4 linked regions of the Arabidopsis thaliana genome follow. The protein of the gene in region 2 interacts with the protein of the main gene of each other region in a pairwise test. Each region holds a gene or a part of one and is shown on either strand. Other genes may lie near its edges.

The links.
Region 1: the proteins of AGL97 (region 2) and AGL52 interact in a two-hybrid assay, tested with the Arabidopsis thaliana proteins (one large-scale study listed by BioGRID).
Region 3: the proteins of AGL97 (region 2) and AGL53 interact in a two-hybrid assay, tested with the Arabidopsis thaliana proteins (one large-scale study listed by BioGRID).
Region 4: the proteins of AGL97 (region 2) and AGL76 interact in a two-hybrid assay, tested with the Arabidopsis thaliana proteins (one large-scale study listed by BioGRID).

What each region holds. Positions count from the first base shown.
Region 1 is NC_003075.7:6,847,906-6,851,074, reverse strand, and holds AGL52 (AGAMOUS-like 52), read right to left. Parts: upstream 1,498-3,169; coding exon 508-1,497; downstream 1-507. Other genes in the region: TOPP7 (Calcineurin-like metallo-phosphoesterase superfamily protein), read right to left, coding at 2,043-2,060, 2,144-2,356, 2,533-3,092.
Region 2 is NC_003070.9:17,231,626-17,234,720, reverse strand, and holds AGL97 (AGAMOUS-like 97), read left to right. Parts: upstream 1-1,769; 5' UTR 1,770-1,785; coding exon 1,786-2,586; downstream 2,587-3,095. UniProt on the Arabidopsis thaliana protein: Putative transcription factor.
Region 3 is NC_003076.8:9,526,092-9,529,131, forward strand, and holds AGL53 (AGAMOUS-like 53), read left to right. Parts: upstream 1-1,649; coding exon 1,650-2,513; downstream 2,514-3,040. UniProt on the Arabidopsis thaliana protein: Probable transcription factor that may function in the maintenance of the proper function of the central cell in pollen tube attraction.
Region 4 is NC_003076.8:16,050,069-16,053,567, forward strand, and holds AGL76 (AGAMOUS-like 76), read left to right. Parts: upstream 1-1,810; coding exon 1,811-2,968; downstream 2,969-3,499.

The sequences.
Region 1 (3,169 bases), on a different chromosome or scaffold from region 2:
ATGCACCAGCATTGTCAAACTCGCCACAGTAATTGGGTGCAGAGAATTTGTCTTCACGAAATCAGAGCTACTTTCCATCTTCATGTATATATTAGCTGATTCAGACAAGAAGGATACTAAGTTACAAGTTTGTTATAAGATGCAAGAGTAAAGGATTTCACTTTGCAGGTTGTATCAACCAATTGAAACAGTCTTGTCACCATAAGTGATTTTAGATTATAATTTGTTTCATGCAAGTTTTTGTGAAAGACTTTTATGGAAGTTCATATATATATATATATATATATATATAATACTAACTGAAATACCAACTTAAAAGTAAAAACAAAATCTCCACAAATGGATCTGTTTTACAGTTATAACAACACTGTAAAATAAAAAAAGACAGTAGCAGGAAGAATTCAGAAGCAAAAACAGCTTCAATCTCTCTCTGATCAGCTTCCTACTTATAAGTATTGACTGACTCTTAATGAAGCTTCAAAAAACAAATCCTTTTGGACAGATTTGTTAGCAGAGAAGTCTTGAGTTGTCAGAAAAACAATAGCTGTTAGGAATGTTGTGGAGAGGTGGCAGAGAAGATGTCTGTAGCAAACTGCTCCCATCATAGCTCGAAAACATATCTTGAGAGAAGCTAGTGTTACCATAAGGGAATTCATGTGGAACAGTGTTTGAGAGATTAGGATGTTGTAAACCGTTGTTGTTATTGATGATTTCACTCATCATACACAAGTTCTGATCAAAACCATGAAGCTGATCCTGTTGCTGCATCAAGTGATTATTCAACCCGTAGTTATTCGCCGAAAGTAACGGTGAGTAGTCTTGTGTGTTTGACACGCCAGGATGTTGAAAGTTGTTGTTGTTGGTGATGTTGTCCAAACACATGTTCTGACCAAAACCATGCTGCATCTGGTAATTGATGAGTTGATTGGATTGTGAAGCAGACAGTGGGAGTTGTGAGAGAGTAGCATCTCCATGGTTGTACATATACAGCGAGAACTTGCTAGGATCCAAGTGTTGTGTCTGGTTCAGATACGATGGTGTTAAACTCTGATGCACCAAGTTTGTGTTCTGTTTTTTCTGCGACTCAACAATACGAAGCCTTTTTTGGAGAGTAGAAAGTGTTCGTTCTAAGGACTGAATCAATTGAGAGAGTTGTTGAGGAGAGTAATGATCAAAGTTTGGATACCAATTAGGGTTCTTCACATAATTCGTCTTCCCCTTATACTTGTCTTTGTCCTTCACCTTCTCTTTCTCGAGGAACTCATGAAGATTGAGGCACTTCTTGCGTTTTCTGTCCTCTTTATACCTCAAAGCCATATTTTTCACTGTCTCTCTATCCTTAGGCCATGTTCTCAGATCACCGTCTGGTCCGTAATAGATGACGCAAACGTCAATAGCACAGAGAATCGAAAGCTCTTCTGCTTTCTTAAAGATTGTTTTAAGTCTGTTTGTTAAACTTGTTGGATTACATGACGAAGAAGAAGAAGCTTGCTTCATCGTGATTTTGCCTTGATTCGCCAAGCAAGAAACTAGGGTTTTTTTTTTCTCCGACAGAGAGATAACACACAAAGAAGAAGCAGAATTGTGGAATTGATGGTGAAAGATTGTGAAACTTCACTCAATATGTTTATATAGATTGCCTTGGTGCCTACGGGAACAAGCATACGCGTCGGCGACGCGTGAAGAAGATAAAAGCAGTATCTATCCTCAAATCTAGGTTACCTCTTCTCTTATTATTTAGCTTATAGTATATATTACGTCAAATAAGATAATTGTTTTTCAAGTTTCATTTTATTATTTTTATAAATTTTACGTTTATGTTTTTAGAATATGTTTCTAAAAGGTTAGTTGTATAAAACCCAACTTTCTTCAGTTGAAAATGCTGTGAACATCTTCCACAATTTTTACAAAAAAAATCTAAACAAAACATAATGTTGCCTCAACCATAAGAAAACAGATAACAATCTAACAAAACAAACTGTTTGCCTTACAAAATTCGAACCCGTCGGTTTCACTCGTTTCTTGAACCCATCGACGACGAGTTAACGACCTTTTCCACCCTGCAAGAATGTTAACATATCAAACCTGATATCTAACATCTACCTACATTGCATCTATATACAGGGGGATAGTATTTTCACACCTTATGAGGTGGGGTTCCTGGTCTAGGAACATTGTTGTTGAATCCAAATCTTCCTTTCTTCTCAGATGCCTTAAGGATTTGGAATGAACATGTTAAGCTATCATCAACACTCATCAATGCACCAGCATTGTCAAACTCGCCACAGTAATTGGGTGCAGAGAATATTGTCACTAGTTGTCTCTTTGCAAAGAACTCGTATCCATCTTCTACAACCTGCAGGAACAGTATAGTTAAGTAAAACTTGGCTTGGTGAAAAAACTACAGATCCTTGCATTAACAACTGAGTTATGATTTCTTAACCCTCTGAATTCAGAGAACAGTCACAGAGAAGAACAAACCAATCCAGAGAAATCAAAAGAGAGAACTCAAGGAATAAATTTTAGCTTTACCTGATGAGCTCGGCATATAAGATCAAGGTCATGAGTTTGAAGGAACTCAGCTACTTTGTCAGCCCCAAATGTATAAGAGACACCTCTGTCATTCTCCCCCCAGCCTTGAATCTCTCTGTCAGGATCAGCCCACAACAAATCACAAAGAATGCCCTGATCAGGAACGTCAATAGGACGAGGAATTCTCCTGATGTCATCTAAGCTCTTAATATCAGGCGATAGTCCACCATGCATGCAGAGGATCTTATCATCAATGAGAGCAGAAACAGGCAGACAGTTGAAGCACTCGGTGAATGTTTTCCATAAGCGAACATTATATCTTCTTTTGCATTCATCGTAGAATCCATATACACGGTTGATTGAAGCACATTCGTGATTGCCTCTGAGAAGAAAGAAGTTGAACTTGTATTTGACCTTATAGGCAAGAAGAAGGCATATCGTCTCTATGCTCTGCTTACCACGATCAACATAATCCCCAAGAAACAAGTAGTTCGCAGCTGGTGGATAACCACCATACTCAAACAACCGCAAGAGGTCTGGAAACTGACCATGAACATCTCCTGCTCATCAACATATAAACTTAAAACCATCAACAAAATTACAAATCATACAGTTATGATAGCAACAGAAGGGTTTA
Region 2 (3,095 bases):
GTATACATCAGAATATTAAACCTACAAAACAAAAGTAGCTCTGGAAATCTCAATAATGTAGTCTCTTAGAAGGATCCACAAAGGCCACAGAGAAGAAAACATAATGCTTAATAACAAAGATGAACAATGTGGATTTTGCCAGAATATTTATGGCTGTGAGCTTGTTTCTTCAAGAAGTCTCTACCTTTTAACTTCTCAAAAATCAAGTTTCTTAAACAAGTCTTCAATGCTGAGGATGTCACAGAAGAAGTCTTCAACAAACCTGTAGCCATGTTTTGATCACAGAAGAATCAGTACTTATATGTTTCTAATTGATACAAGATTCTTCTCCAGCAAAACCCTGATTTCTTCTTCCAAATCTCACTTGTTCTTCTTTCAGAATCTTCCATACGAATCTTTGATTCTGTTGTAATTCTCACAATCTCTCTATTTCTCACACTCCTTTACGGTTTCATTGTCTTTAGAGAGAAAGAACAAAAACTATTTTCTTTTAATCTTCTACTTTGATAATATTCTTGGATACTCTTACACAACACAAACAACACATACATATAGTGGTTTTGCTCCACTTGGTAGACTACACACACTTAGACTCTAGACCACATCATTGTCCTAAGACTTACATCATCCACTCTACTATGTTGGAACTCCAACACCTTAATTCACTCTCTTAGTTTACTTTAGTTGTCACAACCTCTTCTTGTTGGACCTTAACTAGACAACTTGTACAAAACACTTATTCGTATGGGCCTTATCTCATTACCTATGACCCAACACACAAAACACAAACCCATTTGGTTTGTTGACTTTCTTCTCTTCCTTTGACTCCTCTCTTCACGACGTCTCTTCTCCGCCATCGTCTTCTTCTTCCGTTGCTTCTTCCTTTGTTCTTCATCTTCTTCTTCTCACCAAGCTTGTTATTCTTGTAGGATTTAGTTTAGGATACTCAATTCCAACAGATTCTCGTAATCTCCATATCTAGATCCTCTTCCGAATCCGTAATCACCAATTCACCATTATCAACCAAAAGCTTGAGTTTTTGTTGTGTATCGGACATTGATTCACCAGCATAAAACAGAGATTCCATACTAGGGTTTGAGATTGTATTCTTCAATACTGTGTCGTCTTCTTCTTCCTCACAAAGTTTGCAATTTTGGTTTTTGGATTCGTAACGGTCACAAAGAGAAGAAGAGAGGCTCCTAAATATTTTGTTGTATTGACGCTTTTACCCTTCATAACGGTCTTATTTTATTGACCGTTGACCAAACCGGTTAAAGGAAGAATTTGCATGTTGGTTTACTCGTCCTCCTTCGCTTATTAGACAATCAGTAGTAAACAAATTCACCGACTAAACCAAAAATTCCACTAAATACAGATTCGGTTTAACTAAACCGGTCTTTGTTTGTATTAGATGGTTTTGAGTAATTTACTTTTAGAAAAGGAAACAGTTTTAATTTTTCGTTTAATTACCGATTAGGGTATTATCAGTAAAAAAGGAAATCAAAATCGATGTTGTTTCAGGTGGTTTTGTGTACTAATTACTTTCAAAAAAGGAAAACAAGTTTATTTAGTCGTTTAATTACTGATTAGCAATTATCAGAAAAAGGAAATAACATGGATTAATTAGAAAACGAGTTAGGGCTACTAAGTCTATATATATATCTATCTGATTAGAACGAGAGTGAGTCCATTATCATATTCTTCTTTCGCAACAAGCGGCAGCACACAAAACTCTCAAGTCTTGTCTCGTTCTCTTTTGTTTGTGAAACTGAGAAAAAAAACAGAATGGGTGGCGTGAAGAGGAAGATTGCTATAGAGAAGATACAGAACAAAAATCCACGAGCGGTTTCATTCTCCAAACGTCGTAAGGGTCTGTATAGCAAAGCTTCTGAACTTTGTCTTCTCTCGGACGCAGAGATTGCGATCATAGCGACTCCTGTTTCTTCTAATTCCAACGCCGCTTTCTACAGTTTTGGCCACTCCTCTGTTGATAATGTCGTCGCTGCTTTTCTCGCCAATCAGCGTCCTTGTGATGAAAGGTTTTGGTGGGAAGATGAGAGTCTTCTAAAATCAGAGAATCTGGAGGAGTTGAGAGAGGCGATGGATTCAATGTCGACTATGTTGCGAGATCTCAAGGAGTTGGAGAAGCAAAGAGATCATCAAACGCAAACCCTAATTCATCAGCCGTGTTCTGCAAGGGTTTGCATTCAAGATTATGTAACTGTGAATTTCGATGGGTTTAACACGGAAGAGCAAACCCTAGCGGTTTCTGACAATAGTAACAACAACGGTTTACTTGGAAACTTGGATGAGTGCAATGAAGATTTTGATGATCTCGATCAAATCTTCGATACGGTGACAAACTCTGAATTTTTATCGGTGAATTTGGAGATGGATGATGTAACTGTGAATTCTGAAGGGAACACGGAAGAGCAAACCCTAGCGGTTTCTGACAATAGCAACAACAACGGTTTACTTGGAAACTTGGATGAGTGCAATGAAGATTTTGATGATCTCGATCAAATCATTGAGTATTTGACAAGCTCTGAAGCTTTATCCATGAATTTAAAGATGGATGATGTCTGATGCATGCCTCTATGGTGACAATTTGTGTTTATGTTGAAATTGGATCCTTGATTTAAGTATTGCTTCGGTTTAGTATATCTTTGTATGTCTTTTATCAGCTTATGACTTTATTTGATCTGCGTGATATTTTCGTATATCTAACCAAAACATAAGAGCATCCCCAACCACAATACACCAAATTTTAACACCAAATTTGATATTTTGGTGTTTCAATTGTTTTATCATCTCCAACCATAACACCAATTTCACACTAAAAATATTACTTTTTATTATAATATTATTAAACTTAAGATTTTCTTTATTTTTTTAATAGTTTGATATACATAACATATTTCATAACTAAATTATTTTAACTTAATTAATATAAGATTACAATCGATAAATTGAAAATAACAAAAAAAAATTACATTGTACTAATTCTCAGAATTAGTATATACGGACCACAAGTGTTCAATTAATGCATTTCGAAGTTTAATATGAGCTTCACGGTCTTTGATTTTCCTGTGTCG
Region 3 (3,040 bases), on a different chromosome or scaffold from region 2:
ATTTAATATTTTTTTATTTAACAAAATTTGATGCTTATACATTCTCTTTTATCATACATTTTAATTCTACACATTCAAGCTTATTGATGATATTTGAATTCTAAATAATAACCTACAAATTTCTATCTTACACATTCAATTTTGCAATACAATTTAAGTATCTATTTCATCATAATATACTCGATTTTCATTCTAAACACTTCATCTTAAGTGAATTTTTTTTTATTAAAAAAATATATTTATATCAGATCTAATATATATCTTTGTTGATATTAAAAAAATAATAAACAGTAAACAAAACTTAACAAAAAAAAAATCCACAAAAATATTTGAAAAGCAAAACTTTTTAAAATGTTTCTTTATATATGGCGTAATTTTCTCTTATGTAAACTTATTTTAAATGAGTTAAAATTAATTAAAAAATATACTAACTTCTTTTTAAGTAATTGAAAAGTAAATCATATAAGTTGTTCTCTCCAAAAATCTTGTGTTTTAACTTATGACTACATGCGTTAAATTTTTTACAATAAAACATAGTTATAAGCTTTTAGTGACATATCAAAGGATCCAAGTTGCTCAATCACCGAATACGTTAAAATTCTTAGAATAAATCTTAAATATTTAAAAATTTATTATAATAAGGTCACTAAATTTTAAAAATATTTTTGTGTTCAAAATTTAACAAATGAAAACACTATATTACAATGATAAACACAATTTTATCCAATTAAATTAATTTTAAATAAATTATATTGTTATTTTAAACTTAAGTGGTCTTTTTAATTAGTTATTATTCATACTTAATGATTTTTCTTTTAAATTAATACATGATTATTTATTTAATTGACCAATAATATATGTGTTTTCAAATTTGTTAATTTTCTTTTTTGTTAAGAAAAATAAAGTTTAAATATTGTTAGATATATATAAATTAATATATGTAAATTTTTCTTTTTAAGGTTTTTTATTTTTTTAAGAGAATTAAAAAGTTAAATCTTTAATGACACATGTAAACATCTCAATGTTAGATTTGACACGTGCCACAATCTTATGAGGTAGTAATTTTGAAAACTGTACTTTATATAATAAGAAATTAATATATGTAAATTTTTCTTTTTAAGGTTTTCTATTTTTTTAAGAAAATTAAAAAGTTAAATCTTTAATGACACATATAAACTTCTCATTATTAGACTTGACACGTGCCACAATCTTATGAGTTAGTAACTTTAAAAACTATACTTTATATAATAAGATACTGGATGTGGGAAATCGTATCTAAGATCGTATCTACAACGGTTACATTGATATTGGTAAAGGAAAATCGTATCTAATTAAGATTTATCTCATAGACAGCAAACAAAAAGGGAATTTCATTACTTAAATATCACAACGGTTAGATTAATAGAAGTAAATCATCATCATTTAACGAAGAAAAGATACTCTAAAGAAAAAGGAAATAAAACCCACAGCTCAATTTGTCTCTCTTGGTTTAGTAAAATCAATATCAAATATTATATGGAAATACAAGAATTTCACAATTCTATATAACCCTGAACCGTGTGTTAGTTACACTAAGTTTATTTTCTAGGTTTCTCTCTGATAAGAAACTAGGTATCTTCTTCTTCTTTTTCTGTGGGTAAACAACAACAATGGATTCTTCAATGTCGACGAAGAAGAAAACCAAATTGTCTGTGAGAAACCAAACTTGTTTCAAGAAATCGTCCCTGTCTTCTTCTTCTACTGCAAAAAAGACCACGAATTTGTCTATGAGAGAACAGACCATGTTCAAGAAAGCCTTGGAGCTTTCAACTCTGTGCAACATCGATGTCTGTGTCATATACTATGGTCGTGACGGAAAACTCATCAAGACATGGCCGGAGGATCAATCAAAAGTTCGAGACATGGCTGAGAGGTTTAGCAGATTACACGAGAGAGAGCGATGCAAGAAAAGAACCAACCTTTCTCTGTTTCTACGTAAGAAGATCCTCGACGACACTAAATTGTCGGAGAAAGTCTTAGAGATGGAGGATTCGTTAGAAAGTGGTCTACGAGTACTACAAGATAAGCTTCTGTTACTCCAACCCGAGAAAAACCAGACCGAGTTTGGTCAGACCCGTGCGGTTTCTTCCACAACGAATCCATTGTCTCCTCCTCCTTCGCTAATTGAGGATCATCGTCATCAACAATGGACAGAACCATTGATGAGTGGTGTGTCAAACACAGAGCAAGACCTATCGACGTCATCATTGAGTCAAAATCAGAGCAGAATTTCAGTCTTTCTCTATAACCATGACAACCGTAGCTTCTATCAAGTCCCTGACTCAGTTTCTAGCTTTGACCAATCGGCTTTACTTGGGGAACAAGGATCTGGTCTAGGAAGTAACTTTGATCTTCCTCCCATGGTTTTTCCTCCTCAGATGCAGACACAAACCCCACTTGTCCCCTTTGATCAGTTTGCGGCATGGAATCAAGCACCGTCGTTTGCAGATCCAATGATGTTCCCTTATAATTAGTTCTTGTTGTTCCAAAAACTGATCTTTGACTTGGTGTACGTTTTATAATGATCTATTATATATGTATTCTTCATTTAGATTATGAGTTTAACTGTCTCTTCTTGTGCCTGATTACGAGTTTGTATTGAATTGTATGTTTTCCCAAGTATGAATGCTATTTTCTCAAGTTTCTAAAAACAGTCTTGGCTTCTTCTATAATTGTCTGAGTCTTATATTTGAGTTTGAAAACCTGCTATGTTCAGATTTTTAATATACAATAGATATTGAAGGTTAGATGTCGATAATTTATGCAGAGAAGCCAACTTTGATGAGTCAGATGCTTTGGTGACAGCTTCCAACAAAAAATGTTGTTAAAAGTAGTGTTTTGTCCAAGAGGTGGAAAAACTCTGGCTTTGTTGGATATTTGATGCCAATGAATTTGCAGATTACAATGCCTAAGTGAGTTTTGTCTACGTATATACGCCAATAATGAAGCTATACAGTTGCTTATCTCGTTTTACCCGATTCTTGAAGATTTGAGTATTGCA
Region 4 (3,499 bases), on a different chromosome or scaffold from region 2:
GTGCTGATAGATACTAAACGCCCTCCTGTCTACATTGACAGTCAAGTGGGGTTGGATACGTTCTTTTTAATTCGTGGTCGGTATCCTTCTCTCAATTTGTTTGTCTCTTTCATTACAACCGTCAAGACACCCGATAATAATGTCTCTAGGACTCATGGTGATGATGCTGAAAGTGACCGTGTATGTGATAGTGTTTCAAATGTTGATGAAAATAATGAGGCCGTAGATGAGAAAGACGACGATGAAGACGATAAAACAAATGAGGATGAAGAGGAGGGGGACAACAAAGATGGTGGTGGGTATGATGATTATCAGGGTGACGATGGATCTATAGGGGGAAGTACCCTCGATCCTACTATTGATGGTAGTGAAAGTAGTGGCGAAGATTATGATTACAACAAGTGGAACGATGTAATTGTAGAAGAATATGGAATAGGGAATGTTGACGAGAACGTCATTCTCACACCAGGGGAATTCAGTCGTCTGTTGGCAGAGTGTACGTACACAAGTCAGCGTGTACCTGGCGGAGATAACATTTCTCACTCGGGTGACCGTACACCAGTTGTGACTCGAAGAAGTATGTGTCAACATGGTTTGTACCAATGTACCTACACTATAGATTGGGAAGTGTTTTTAAGAACAGAAAAATCATACAACAAACAATGTCTTATCTCAGCCACTGCCAATATTGGTTTAATATTGTATTAATAAATTTTTCTTAATAATTTCATTCACAAACAAAGATGTACGTATATTATTACACATGTACATACATTAATTTACCAACAAAAATGTACGTACATTATTTCACCATCTATTTTTATTTAATTATTATGTATGTATTGAGATTATTGAGATATAAGAATACGTAATAAAATAGTTTGAATTATTAGAAATCGTCTCATATATGTTCCATAAATAATTTCGTGTACGTACACAGAAAAAATTCGATGAAGGGTATAATTGTAATTTTCCAGTCATCTTCAACCTGTGTATCCTTTTCTGCAAACCTAATTTTGCGGCCGTCTTTATCAGTTTTCTCAAAATCTCATTTTTTTACGTTTTGATTACTATTTATAAATAAATCTTGTAAACTTAGAGTATCTTTAGTTTAAAAAGCTAAAGTGTTTGTATCTAGGAGCTTTTTTTTTGCATTTTGTTCATCTCTGAAAACAAGAAATTTGTTCCTCAATTTTGGAGTTCAATGGAGAGATGTCGAAATATGAAGGAGTGGATAATGAATTTTGAACTTCTTTCTACTTCTCTCTCGAATTACTCCGTCTCTTTCTCTTTTTCTTCTTCTTTGTTTCTTTGTTTCAGTGTTTTTTTTTTGTTTTTTTCAAAACTGAACCATTAAGGATAAACCAAAATCACAAAACCATTAAGGGTAAACCATTAAGTTTCAAAACAAAACCAGAAAAACTAAACCGAAATCAAGTGCTGTGTGATTTGGTTGCTCCCATTAAGGGTATTTTAGTCTGAAAACAACTGAAAAGACAAACGGTAAAAACCATATCTCACTTTGACAAACCATGAGAGCAATTCTTTTTTCATCCAGTGAAAATTTCTTTTTATTAAATCTATAAAATACGGAAATCAAATCTATACTCGTATTTCCTTTTCTTACCGATGAGCGTGAGTGGTTATGAAAACCAAATCTTTACTTCTACATCTATAAATATATGATTTTACTCTCCAAACCTAATACATTAGTTTCACTCTCTCAATTTTATTCTTCTTCGCCTTCGTGCTTTCTCTTAACTTTGAACGTGAAAAAAACAGAGAGTTTGTCTTCGAAACCAACAAGAAGATGACTATGCGATCATTACCTTTTTCCTCTTCTTCTTATTCACTCGCTTCCACAAGTTTGAGTAACAGACTTGAGACTATATTCAAGAAAGCTTCAGAGCTTTGCACTCTCTGTGATATCGAAGCGTGCGTCATCTATTACGGACCAGACGGAGAACTTAAGACATGGCCTAAGGAGAAAGAGAAAGTGAGAGACATTGCTCTGAGGTATAGTCAATTAAACGAAGCCTTGAGAAGCAAGAAAAGCGTTAATCTTCATGGGTTCCTGAACAAGAAGAAGAAGAAGAAGAAGAAGGGTTTGAAGAATCCGAACAATAAGAGGAAGACTTGTCTTAAGAAGAACGTGAATGTTTTAAAGTATCCACTCGCTGATCATTACCCTCCCGACCAAGTTTCTCAACTGACTCAGTCCTTAAAACTCCATGTCTCTAAATTCCAAGAAAGGCTTCGATTTCTTGAGTCGCAGAAACAGACAAAACCGGATCATCAGAGTTTAACACCATCCTCTTTGAATCATCAGACCCAATCTTTGAACCCTAGACAGTTTTCGCTGTTTATGTATAACCATGGAGACAATACTCTGTCTCAGATCTCAGTCTCTGCATCAAATTTCAATCAGAATTATTTCTCAGCGTTACTTGAACAATCTGAGTTGAAGAATCAGTTAATGAAGCAGGATGGTTATGATCAGAATCAGAACATGAGGATGGGTGACATCACCAACAACAATTTTCAACTTCCTTACTTCTCAAAGAAAGAAGCGGTACAAGAATCTGTGAACTACTTTGGGATGAATCAGTTGATGCTGAAGGAGTTATATGGTTGTGATCAAAACATGTGTATGGGTAACATCAATAGCAACAGCTTTCAACATCCTTGCGTCTCAAAGGCACAACATTACTCGGCGGTAGAAGGATCTGTCAATAACCAACGACAATCTGAGTTAATGCAGCAGGAGCTTTGTGGTTATGAGCAGAACATGTGCTTTACCAACAACAATTTTCAAGTCTCAAACAAAGAAGCGGTTCAAGAATCTGTGACTAATTTTGGGTTGATGCAGCATGAACTTTATGGGTGTGATCAAAACATGTCTATGGGCAACATCATTAACAACAGCTTTCAACAGCGTCTCAAACACAGAACAAGAATCTGTGAATAACCCCTGGTTGAATCAGTTGATGCAGCATGAACTCTATGGCTATGATCAATGGTGAAGTAGCGGAACAGAGATAGTGAAGCTGTTTTCTTGAGTCTTGATTCACTTGTTAATTTTTATTTTTGAGTACGCTTGTTAATCTGTAGAGATTTCGTTCTGAGTTTTAAAGTTACAACTTGTATTTTCGGTTTAGTTATTACATATATATGATATAAAAACTCGAGCAATCTTTAACTAACATGTTAAATTGAGGCACATCGACGAAACTCAAAACAACAAGCAATACAGTAGCAAGTAGCAGAAACAAGCAAAGCAATCAAACAATTGTGGTGATGAAACATGTAGTAAAGTAAGAGAAGCTTGCCTATTAGTAACATCCAATTAGAATTGTATCACAAAGTAGGGCAAGTAAATCATTTTTGACTAGTGTGTAACTTGTATACTATCTCCATCACTAATGTTCACTCTCATCTCTGAAAATTATGATGGTGTAATAAGAGAACAATAATAAATTCTTCAAACAAAAAATATCCT